Drosophila melanogaster: one gene and its partners. The protein of the gene in region 3 purifies or fractionates together with the protein of the main gene of each other region. This does not show direct contact. Each region holds a gene or a part of one and is shown on either strand. Other genes may lie near its edges.

Region 1 (3,755 bases), on a different chromosome or scaffold from region 3:
CTGTTTGCGGACCAAGCGGACGACGACAAGAGCGAAGACAAAGAGAACGGTACGGTGACGAATTGCAGAGCAGCCAGGGAAGCTTAGGGTTATAGAATCATCCCAACCAAGATTGGCAGCCATATAAGCTTGTTGTCACTTGACAAAGGCAAAGCTATACGATTCTTAAAGTGTATAACTTGGCTTTCGCCTTTTCCGAAGCATTAAAACTCAGTGTATGAAGTGAACTAGAAATGCTTAGCCAGTGAGTTAGCATGTAGCTGTTCCAACTTTAAATAGACTCCAGATTTCAAAGCTCTCACTTAGCAAATAAGCTTATACCATACCCTTTTAAATAACGTTTTCATCCGTTTACAGACGAGGACAACAGCTCAACCTGGTTTGGCTCCGACCGCGATTACACATACGACGAGTTGCTGAAGCGGGTCTTCGAAATCATTCTCGACAAGAATCCGGACATGGCCGCCGGCCGAAAGCCAAAGTTCGTGATGCGACCGCCGCAGGTGCTGCGCGTGGGAACCAAGAAGACCTCCTTTGCCAACTTCATGGACATTGCGAAAACGCTGCATCGCCTGCCCAAGCATCTGCTCGATTTCCTGCTGGCCGAGTTGGGTACCAGTGGCTCCATGGACGGCAACCAGCAGCTGATCATCAAGGGCCGTTTCCAGCCCAAACAGATCGAGAATGTGCTGCGTCGCTACATCAAGGAGTACGTCACCTGTCACACCTGCCGCTCCCCGGAAACGATATTGCAGAAGGACACGCGTCTCTTCTTCCTGCAGTGCGAATCCTGTGGCTCCCGCTGCTCGGTGGCCAGCATTAAGTCAGGTTTCCAGGCTGTCACCGGCAAACGTGCCGCCATACGAGCAAAAACAACCTAAATTCTCCTTATTTAAAACTTTTTGAATTTTTATTACCAGTAAAATTTCAATACAAAAAACCAACGATACTATTTATTTGTTGTATTCTGCATTGTTTTATGCCTTCGTTGCCAGTCGGTTAGGTAGTCTACGAAGCCAATTTCCATATTCCGCGATCGGCCGCTGTCTATGAAGAACTGAAAAGCGTCCAGACCCATCTTGCCGCGGAACCTATTCGGACGACCGCGCAGGAATAGGCTGTGGCCCCTCGAGATGCGCGTGGGATCAATGTACTCCATGGAGACCTGCAGCAGCCGCATCATGCTCACGGCAATGCTCTTGTAGGCCTCGGACGAGGCCAGCGAACTGGCTTCACTGTACAGGCTGCTGATCACGCGTCCATTGAAGGGTTTTTTGGTGATGCTGGCCTCCAGGGAGCCGGTGCCATCATCGATCATGAACTTCATGAACGACTCGTTGTGCGTTCCATTGCCAGTTACAAAGGCGTAGATGATGCAGGTGCAGAAGTGAATCGGATGCACGTCGTCTGTGATGAACACATTCTCGTTCTCCGGATCCTGAGTTGCGCGCTCAATCTGGGATATGGTCAGCGGCACGTTGTCGTGGACCTCCGGACCACATTTGCCCGTGGACTTTTCACTCTGTTGATTCTTGCGTATCACGAAGTTATCCAGCTGGCTTTCTATGTCCTCGAAACTCTGATTAAAATCCATTCTATTTGCTTAGTCTGCGATTTCAAAGGGGATTTCTTTATTGCAGTGCATTTTGCATTAGCGCCAAAAAAAAAAACAGTTGTGAGCATGGGCGTAGACTTCGTATTTTCTTACAAATAATATTAATTAAAATTAATTTTGTGAGCAATTTTCACACAATTGTATTATAAGTTAAAACCAGGGTCACATTAATTTGCAGAACCGCGCAATATTTTCTTTTTAACCCCCTTACAAATTTTCAGTTGTTTTGACTACGCCCCTGCTAATTTTTACTTATTAAATTCAAAGTCTAAAAACATTGTCACCAGATAATACGAGTATACACTATATGGACAAACGTAAAATCGTTAATAGAATATATATATTCAACCATTATTTCACCACCGAGAGAAATTCATTTGCACAAAACGCCAGGTTGGCAGCACCATCATTGCGCACAGCAAGTGGGCAAACTCGTTGTATCGCTTGTGAAATTTAAGGAAAAGTACACTTTGTTCAAAACTAACGAAGAGAATCGCAATATCTGCCGATCTTGGAATGTCTGGTGGTCCATCCATAACGATAAAAAGCCAACCAATCGATGGTAACAACACGGGCAACGCTGCGGCGCAACAGCAGCAGCAGGCAGCGAATGGCGCAGCAACCGCTGGTGCATCTGGAGCCGCTGGCAGCGCCCAGAATCCAGGACACGGAGGAGCTGCGTCCGGCGCTGGCAGTGTGCCGGCAGAGGGAACGCGCCAGAACAGCCTACAGCGCATTCAGCAGCGAAAGCAAAAGGTCTTCAATCTGCCCGTGCCACAGAAACTGGCCAAATTGTCGATGTATTCCGCCTGCCAGTCTGAGGGATGCCGTTGCACCGGCTGGAAGACACCGCAGGAAAATCGCCACCGTGACGTCGAGTCCTCCTACTGTCCGGAGTTCAACGAGGAGTGCCGCAACACCAGCTGTCGCCATTCGCTGAGATCGCACATAGCCCATCTGGACAATATATCCAGTTCCAGCATGAACGAGCTACTGGGCGCCATTATAGACATGGAGAACCTATTCATGTCCATGCAGCGCGTCGAGGACGAGGACACCAAGAAGGTGTACCAGTACCTCTTCCGTTTGCTGCGCCAGTGCGTCCTCACGCGCCAGCAGGCGGTCATCCGGGGTCCTCTCGGCGATCCACCATTCGAGACGCCGTGCATCACCAAGGCTGTGCTCTCGTTGGTCTTCTACAAGTACAATCACCTGAGCACGCCTGAACTCCAAACCATGACCGAGGTGGCCAAGACGTTCTTGAACTTTCTGAACCACTACAACTTTGAATCGCCGTCGACCAGGAGAGGAGATCTCACCCACGAGGATGCCTCTAACTACAAAATCAACTACACCAGGTGGTTGGTGTTCTGCCACGTGCCCGCCTTCTGTAACTCCCTGCGCCAATGTGAAACGTCCCTAGTGTTTGGACGAACGCTCCTGCGCACCGTTTTCCAGTGCATGTCGCAGCAGCTGAAAAAGAAGTGCATCTCCGAGCGGGATCGCTTTCCCGAGGACAAGCGTTCGATCATCACGCTGATGCCGAAGTTTTTGGAAACGCTTCGCGCCGAATTGCTCAAGGATGATTCGCCCATCTGGGATACCAGCTACCGCCCGTCAAATTCCTTTGTCATCCAGCAGAGAAAGCGTAACCAGGAGGTGGCAAATGTACCCATTGGTCCCAGTGCAGCAAGCATTGGTGGAAACAAGAGGACCAGTGTGGGTGAACCGCTCCACAAGCGAATCAAAAAGGAGCCCACCGATCGTCCAAGCAGGTTGGTAATCAGTTTTTTCTTCTTTCAATACATTTACTAATCGTCCTGCCGCAGTGAGAATTTGGATGACCTGCCTGCGGATGTAGTAATGCGCGCCATGAAATCGGTGTCCGAGTCGAAGACCACCAACAAAGCGGAAATTCTCTTTCCGGTTAATGTGTCGCGGGATGAGAACGTCAAGGCGGAGGAGCAGAAGCGAGCCATTGAGTTCCATGTGGTGGGCAATTCGCTGACCAAACCGGTGGACAAGCAGACTGTTTTGTGGCTACTGGGCCTGCAGCTCGTATTTGCCTATCAGCTACCCGAGATGCCGCGCGAGTACATCAGCCAGTTGGTTTTCGACACCAAGCACAAAACACTGGCGC
Region 2 (3,755 bases), on a different chromosome or scaffold from region 3:
GACTCTTTACACGGCGTTCATCTTTGAGTTGCGGCTGAGACGAGGTGCTTGCTGCCTTTGTCTTGAAGCCATAGTTGAACCCCTCTCCAGAGTCGGGCACCTCTAGCATATCATACCAAATCTGTGCAGGCCCGAACCGCCAGTCAGCCACCTTTGGCTTCTGATCGCTGTTCTCGCCGTTGTCCGGTCCTTCTGGACGCACATCCTCGCTGTTGAAGTCGCCCAGCAATTTGTCCTCGTCGTCGGACATGCACTCCGCTGGCGTTGGCTCTGCAGCATAGTGCAGACTGAAGCCCCGCTTTCGTGGCTCCTCAGTATCGCTTGGAGAGTCCGAACCACCAGTGTTTGTCGTCTGAAATGGTTTACGAAAAGTTTCCTGGTGATCCCGTCCCGTTTAAAAGTACTCTGATCTTCTACCTTCTGATCCCTGGATTGATTTCGCTTGCGGCGGCGTTTGCGCACGTGTCGCCAGATCTGGGGCAAACTCGTGGGTTTACCGGGTCCGAAGAGACGGGAGAAGCGTAGCACCTTTTGGGGACGAAAGTCCGGAAAGAGCTCACGCACATCCACATTCTGGTACTTGGACGGCAGTATGTCTGCCAGTGGTGTGTCCAGCTTCCGATCCGCATCTTAAAGGAATGACCATTGACAAAAAAATTCTATTGTTTTCAAATAATTTTTACCCTTTGAATCGGTAGATTTGGAATCGTCACTGGGACTAGATGCATCATTTGACTTGGCCGGTTCCTCGATGCCGCCGCCAGAGCCGGAGCGCATTGGTGCACTTGGTGGAGGCATTAGTTCCTTGTCGTCCTTAGCTGCAACAAAATGTGAGTTATTCTCTCTGTATAGCAATAGGTCTGAACCCAACCTGAGCGGTGCAAAAGTAATCGTGTCACTTTGACAGGAATTGCATAGACCTTTAAAAATTTGAGCAATATCCTCTCCTACCAGTGTTAACTGGTTAAATTAAATGTCATCAAACCGTTGTAGATTACGGTCTTACTTACTCAACTTGGCCTCTACCTTGGAGGCGGGAATGGCGTCTTCTAAGTCATCATAAGTGCTTGTTTCTTCGGGCGGAGTGCGTGGGCAGTCCTCGGATAACTCGGTGATGTCAGAGTAGTCAATGGCATCGTCCTGAGCCTTTACGGCGCCATCCTCCCTTTTAACGCCCGCTTTGAGCGCATCAAAGGCACTCATTCCTTCGCTGGCACTGACGGCTGACGGTCTGGCGTCCTCCTCTTCCTCGTCATCCGACGGAGGCTCGGCTTCCTTGAGATCGATAACCTCGAGCAGCATAGAATCCAGACCCAATCTGAAAGTAATCCATACGCAATATGAATGGAAATGTAATTAAAAGTGTCTTATATCTTGTGAATTAAGATATATTTGAATGATACCGGGTTTACATATGTATGTACAAGCATGTGTACTCACTTGGAAAGGGAACCAATGTTTTCCCGGAGCTCCGCATCGAAACCGGTGCCCCCGCGCCCCTCTCCGTCGTCATCTTGCAGCAGTCTGCCCTCGGAGTCGATGTTGCCGAAAAGAATGCCGGTCAAGTCCAATCCATTGCCGATCGATCCCTCATCGTCGCTGTTGTCAGATTCCATCTCCATTTCTATGGGCTTGCAATGTTTACGCGGCTAAAGTATATTTTCTTCGACGGAGTGTAATTGCATTTTTCACACGCGTAAGTGTGACCGTCGATGGACAAAGCAAAGATGCCTCATGGCTCCCCACTGGCACCAGAAAATCCGCGATTAGATTTGGACAAGGGTTGGGAGCTTGGGAAGGTCAATTGCGTTTTGTACCGAAGGTTAGTGTCCAACAAAAAGGGCTCTGTAATATTTTTAATTGGCAATTTTGTACCATGTATGGCATACGTGGATTTTTATTAAAAAATATATATTCCTTTGATATTCGTACATTTCATTTGTATAATTATATATTTCTGAATAGAACTTCTGTAAACACCATTAACACGATCACTTTTGTTCAGCTTCTATCAAAATATAACTTTATTCAGCCAAAAATAGTTTATTCAACGCTCATTGGAGAAAAAATGGGCATACATAAGCACTACAATGCCAATTTAGAATTACAGTTCTCAGACCTACATTTGTGTTACGGTTTTGTAACGTTGAAGGAGCTATATTTCTCTATTGTTGTTCAGATTTTACAGAAATCTGTAGCAAACAATCATAACTACTTCAGATAGCAAAAACTTAAACCATCAATTTTTATATATTTCTTATTATTCATTTTTTATTATAAATATATATATGTTTATTTTCAGAAGTCTCTTCTTAACTTGGTTTTACTCAAACGATTTTACCAACTGCGCTTTCTCTAGCTGAGAATCGTTTTAATGATAATCTCGAAGAGACTATCCACAACTTTGGGATTTGTACTGTCACAAATTGTCATATTTGTACCAAAGAACTGCATGGGAATGTAGGATTTTTATATGCAGGCTTTGAACTATTTGAACGGATTAAAGGAAGAGTACGCTGAGCTCACAAATTTAGTCACCTTCAAGAATCCGATCCTGAAACTTTTACATCAAATGAATCTATGGTTTTTCAATAGATTTTCGTTATAAAATGTATTTCTGATGATTAAACCGGCTGAAAATTCGTTTTCATGGCTTAAACTCTAAAGAATCATTTTAATTCAAGGCAGCATTTCTCTAGGACACAAACCAATGCCATTGTGTACATTTTTTTGCTAATCTCTTTCCGTGACCGACTTCATTGTACCTCAAATTAATTATATGTTTTATAACTTACCTTTACCAAGGCTTCTGTTCCCAGATATGGAAAACCACAAAGTGGGAAAATTTAAAGGTAGACTAGTAAAAATCGAATATTTTTTTGTGTTTCGTCTTTTTGGAATTTCCCTTCATTATAAAATGCCTCAAATTAAATTTTCGAAACTTAATTATCCACGCTGAATGAATGATATAATAAAAATAAATATACGTATATTTACGTATACCGACCGTGATCAGGACTTAAGCCACTTTGAAGCTTGGAGATGGGTGGCAAGTATTTACGCTGTTGCAGAAAGAATATGATCATTAAGATGAGAAAGTGGCTGCGAAAAGCAAAGTGAATCTTGTGTTTTTCAGTACAATCCCTCAGAATGTCGCACTTGATATTCGAGTTTTTGTGTAGGACGAGGACTAGAGGGTTACTGCCTGCGATAGCTTTTAGAAAGGTCTACCTAGAGGGGGAATATTTAATGGAATGGCTCTGGATATGCCATCTCCATGCTTAAAGAAATCTATAGTTCTTGTTTCGCTGTATAACGCACTGCTGTTACCTGTCACCAACACGATTATCAGGAGAACTCCATGACATTCCATACATGTGTTTACTAATATCCACATATAGATCGAGATTCGTGTCAGCCCGCACCAAGCCAAGTCCCGTCATTGGGACACGGTCGGACATGGCGGGGCATGGGGGGACATGGAGGGTCACACGTTCATACGGACAATATTGTAAAATTACATGAGATGTTTTTACTTGAGAGGGTATGTAAACTTAGCTTGCCTACGGTACAAAATTTCTTATCGTCCAATAAGGAAACAAATTCTAGTCGATTACCTCGACTATCAGATACTACGCAGCTAAATCAAAATATGGATGGAACATTGATAGATAGCAAAACTAAAATAAAATATTTTTTTCGAATTTGTTAGATTTTTGGCGTTTATCGACGTGTCCAAAATCTGTTTTGCCTAA
Region 3 (3,378 bases):
CCCTGATAATGGCACCCGGCGAGCGCATCAAGGTGCTCCTGCAGACGCAGCAGGGTCAGGGTGGCGAGCGCAAGTACAACGGCATGATCGACTGCGCCGGCAAGCTATACAAGGAGGGTGGACTTCGCAGCGTTTTCAAGGGCAGCTGCGCCACAATGCTCAGGGATTTGCCCGCCAACGGGCTGTACTTCCTGGTCTACGAGGCGCTGCAGGATGTGGCCAAGTCGAAGTCAGAGACGGGACAAATCAGTACTGCCTCAACGATTTTCGCAGGTGGAGTGGCGGGCATGGCCTACTGGATTCTGGGCATGCCAGCCGACGTGTTAAAGAGCCGCCTACAATCGGCTCCCGAAGGCACCTACAAGCACGGCATACGCAGTGTCTTCAAGGATCTGATTGTCAAGGATGGACCTCTGGCCTTGTACCGCGGCGTGACGCCCATCATGCTCCGAGCCTTCCCAGCCAACGCTGCCTGCTTCTTCGGCATTGAGTTGGCTAACAAATTCTTTAACATCGTAGCTCCAAATTTCTAGTTTGTCTAATAAAGAAAGTGCCTCGCTAAAATGTTTTTACAACTTGAAGAAAACTAGCTATATTTGTGTGCCCAATTCAAAACTTTAGAGCTTAACTAAATCTAAACGAAATACTGCGGCTTGCGCATGGTGATGCCGTGGTCCGCGAGTGCCGGCACCAGGTCCTCCATGGCCAGCGTGTACTTCCTGTCCTTGGGGTTTTTCTTGTCCTTGCTGGAACTGTGTCCGCTGGAATGCTGGATGTTCGTGGTGCGCGTCTTGCAGTGCTGCAGTGCGTCGTTGGCAATATCCGAGATGAACTTCTGCGCGGACACCGAGACGAGGCGCACTATCTTGGGGTCCACTGTGCAGAAGCCAGCCTGCAGATTTAATCCAATATTAGAAATGCTACAAAGAATAGTTTCCGGTATATAGCTACCGTTTTCAAGATGTGCATGGTGAGGGCGTCTGGTATGGTGGGCGAGTAGTCCTCCAGCTGCTTTATCAGCTCATCCATCTCCGATTCCTCCGTCGTCAGAGGAACCTCCTCCACGTCCGGTTGCTCCTCGTCGGAATGCAGTTCGGACTGCATTAGTGGCGAGTCTATATCCTCCTCCTCGGTGTCCGTGGCCGATGTTACGGATTCTGCGGGTGTAACACTGATGTCCTCGCCATCGGAAGCCATTGTTTTCCACTTTTTAATTGTTTATTTCCAGAAATTTGTTATCTCAGCTGGCGTGTATATGTGTGTATGTTTATATTGTAATCGATGACGAACCGTAAGAAGAATCGATAGCACTGGCAGCAACAATACGGAATAATTCGATAACTAGCATCTCCCATCACTACGTCTGCACTGTGTTTAATTTGTATTGTACACTTTTTTCGATGGTGGGCTCCAATTTCGGAATTATTTACCACAACAGCGCCGGTGGCGCAAGCAGTCATGGACAATCCTCGGGAGGAGGTGGCGGTGGAGATCGGGATAGGACCACACCATCTTCGCATCTCAGCGACTTCATGTCGCAGCTGGAAGATTATACTCCATTGATTCCGGATGCGGTCACCTCGCACTATCTCAACATGGGAGGCTTTCAGTCGGACGACAAGCGCATCGTTCGGCTGATCAGCCTAGCCGCCCAGAAGTACATGTCCGACATCATCGACGATGCACTGCAGCACTCCAAGGCGCGCACCCATATGCAAACCACCAATACACCGGGAGGATCGAAGGCCAAGGACCGCAAGTTCACCTTGACCATGGAGGATCTGCAGCCGGCTTTGGCCGACTACGGTATTAATGTTAGGAAAGTGGACTATAGTCAGTAGATAATGGCATGCATTGTAGTAGTTTTTTTCTCATTAAAAATAATGTATCTTAAGATCTGTGTTTTGGGAATTTATTGCGAAAGACCTTGGGATCTTAATGCATTCTCATTCTTTCAAGAAATCCATTTAGTAAAGGGATTTAAGTCCATAGAATGCGTAACTAATCGAGCATATACAAGGTAATTTGTTTTTTTTTATAATGTTATACAAAAGCTATTAACTAGGCGGTTAATACTAGGAGTATGTTTACTGGCATGTTATGAATTTTCTGAAACTGCGAGATGTTCCTCCAGCCACCCGGAAGGCCAGGACTCCCGTAAGTATGGTGACCAAGTAGTTTATCAGCAGAGTGGTCGTGTAAAGCTCATTGGCATTGAGCAGAGTTATCAGGGAGACGAACAGGTGGCTGAAAACCACATAGCCTATGTGGATATAGTTGTTTGTGTCGAATGCGTTGAAGAAAATAACGCTCCAGAAGGTGTGCAGCAGGATAATCGACAACGCCTGGGCAGCCGAGGTGACGAAGAATAGCTCAGTTCCGCCCTTCAAGCCCATGGTGCCGGGACCACTCTAAAAACCAAAAGATCTGTCATTGCTCGGAGCACATTACGCACCTTTGCTGCACTCACCATATCAGCCAGCACATTGACCAGTGCAAACATCCCGGATATAATGCCGAATCCCAAGCCGGAGACATAGGCCAGGATGTGCTTGTTGTCCGTCACTCGCGTGTCCTCCGCCACGGCGTGCAATCCCTGCTCCGTGCTGCGCAGTATCCGGTAGATGATGTACCGGAAGGCTTCCTGGAAGCACACCGAGAAGACCACGCCAAATGCCAGGAACTCCTTCAGCGGAATCAGGGCATACCACAGGGAAGAGATCAGCAGGGAAAGCAGCCAGAAGAATGCCGCCGCAATCAGAATGATGATCCGCACTGGATCATTGGCGATGGTGAAGACGAACAAGGCGAAGGGCGGTCCGAAGGCGATGAAGGTGCAGCCAAAGAACTCGGGCAACGTCATCTTGTCTTTGTATTATTACTGTTTTTTCTTTTGCTCTGTGGGTGTTTTGGTTTACTTGGGAAGAGGAAGCAGAGACTCGCATAGAGTTGCCAGACTTTTGCAGTGCCATTCGGGCTGCCACACTGTACGTTTTAGTAGTGTACATACCCTACACAGATGAGTACATTAGCTTGTGCGTCACGCAAAAGTATACAAATTATTTAAACTGCGAGAATTATCCAAACAAATGGGAATCTTTTAATCTTAACTTAATTGCCTAATTACCTATCCTTTGCTTTAATTTGTATATAAAAACCAAATCCAGCCTTTAAAAGTAATATCTACTGAACTACAGAAAGGGTATATTAGGACCGCTTTTGAAGATACATTTTTGAAAGCTGCCAGACTGCAGAGCACTAATGTCTTCATACCCTACTATATAAAGTCTGTTAATTCAAAAATAACTTGTTGCTAAAGTACACGATATGTATTAGAGCTCATAAAAATTGTAGCCTACTAAATCATTATACAATTTA

What was found.
Region 1: the proteins of Taf10 (region 3) and Gcn5 purify together in Drosophila melanogaster (affinity purification with western blotting; 4 studies listed by BioGRID). This does not show direct contact.
Region 2: the proteins of Taf10 (region 3) and Taf1 purify together in Drosophila melanogaster (affinity purification with western blotting; 2 studies listed by BioGRID). This does not show direct contact.

The regions. Positions count from the first base shown.
Region 1 is NT_037436.4:12,522,280-12,526,034, reverse strand, and holds the start of Gcn5 (Gcn5 acetyltransferase), read left to right. Parts: upstream 1-2,020; 5' UTR 2,021-2,131; coding exon 2,132-3,390; intron 3,391-3,444; coding exon 3,445-3,755. Other genes in the region: eIF2beta (eukaryotic translation initiation factor 2 subunit beta), read left to right, coding at 1-49, 358-881; ver (verrocchio), read right to left, coding at 950-1,594.
Region 2 is NT_033777.3:6,644,857-6,648,611, reverse strand, and holds the start of Taf1 (TBP-associated factor 1), read right to left. Parts: upstream 1,724-3,755; 5' UTR 1,623-1,723; coding exon 1,441-1,622; intron 1,319-1,440; coding exon 1,011-1,318; intron 948-1,010; coding exon 684-947; intron 630-683; coding exon 418-629; intron 353-417; coding exon 1-352. UniProt on the Drosophila melanogaster protein: TFIID is a multimeric protein complex that plays a central role in mediating promoter responses to various activators and repressors. Largest component and core scaffold of the complex.
Region 3 is NT_033779.5:2,765,800-2,769,177, reverse strand, and holds Taf10 (TBP-associated factor 10), read right to left. Parts: upstream 1,289-3,378; 5' UTR 1,198-1,288; coding exon 952-1,197; intron 893-951; coding exon 635-892; 3' UTR 566-634; downstream 1-565. Other genes in the region: colt (congested-like trachea), read left to right, coding at 1-533; Taf10b (TBP-associated factor 10b), read left to right, coding at 1,401-1,841; aph-1 (anterior pharynx defective 1), read right to left, coding at 2,088-2,411, 2,471-2,863. UniProt on the Drosophila melanogaster protein: TFIID is a multimeric protein complex that plays a central role in mediating promoter responses to various activators and repressors.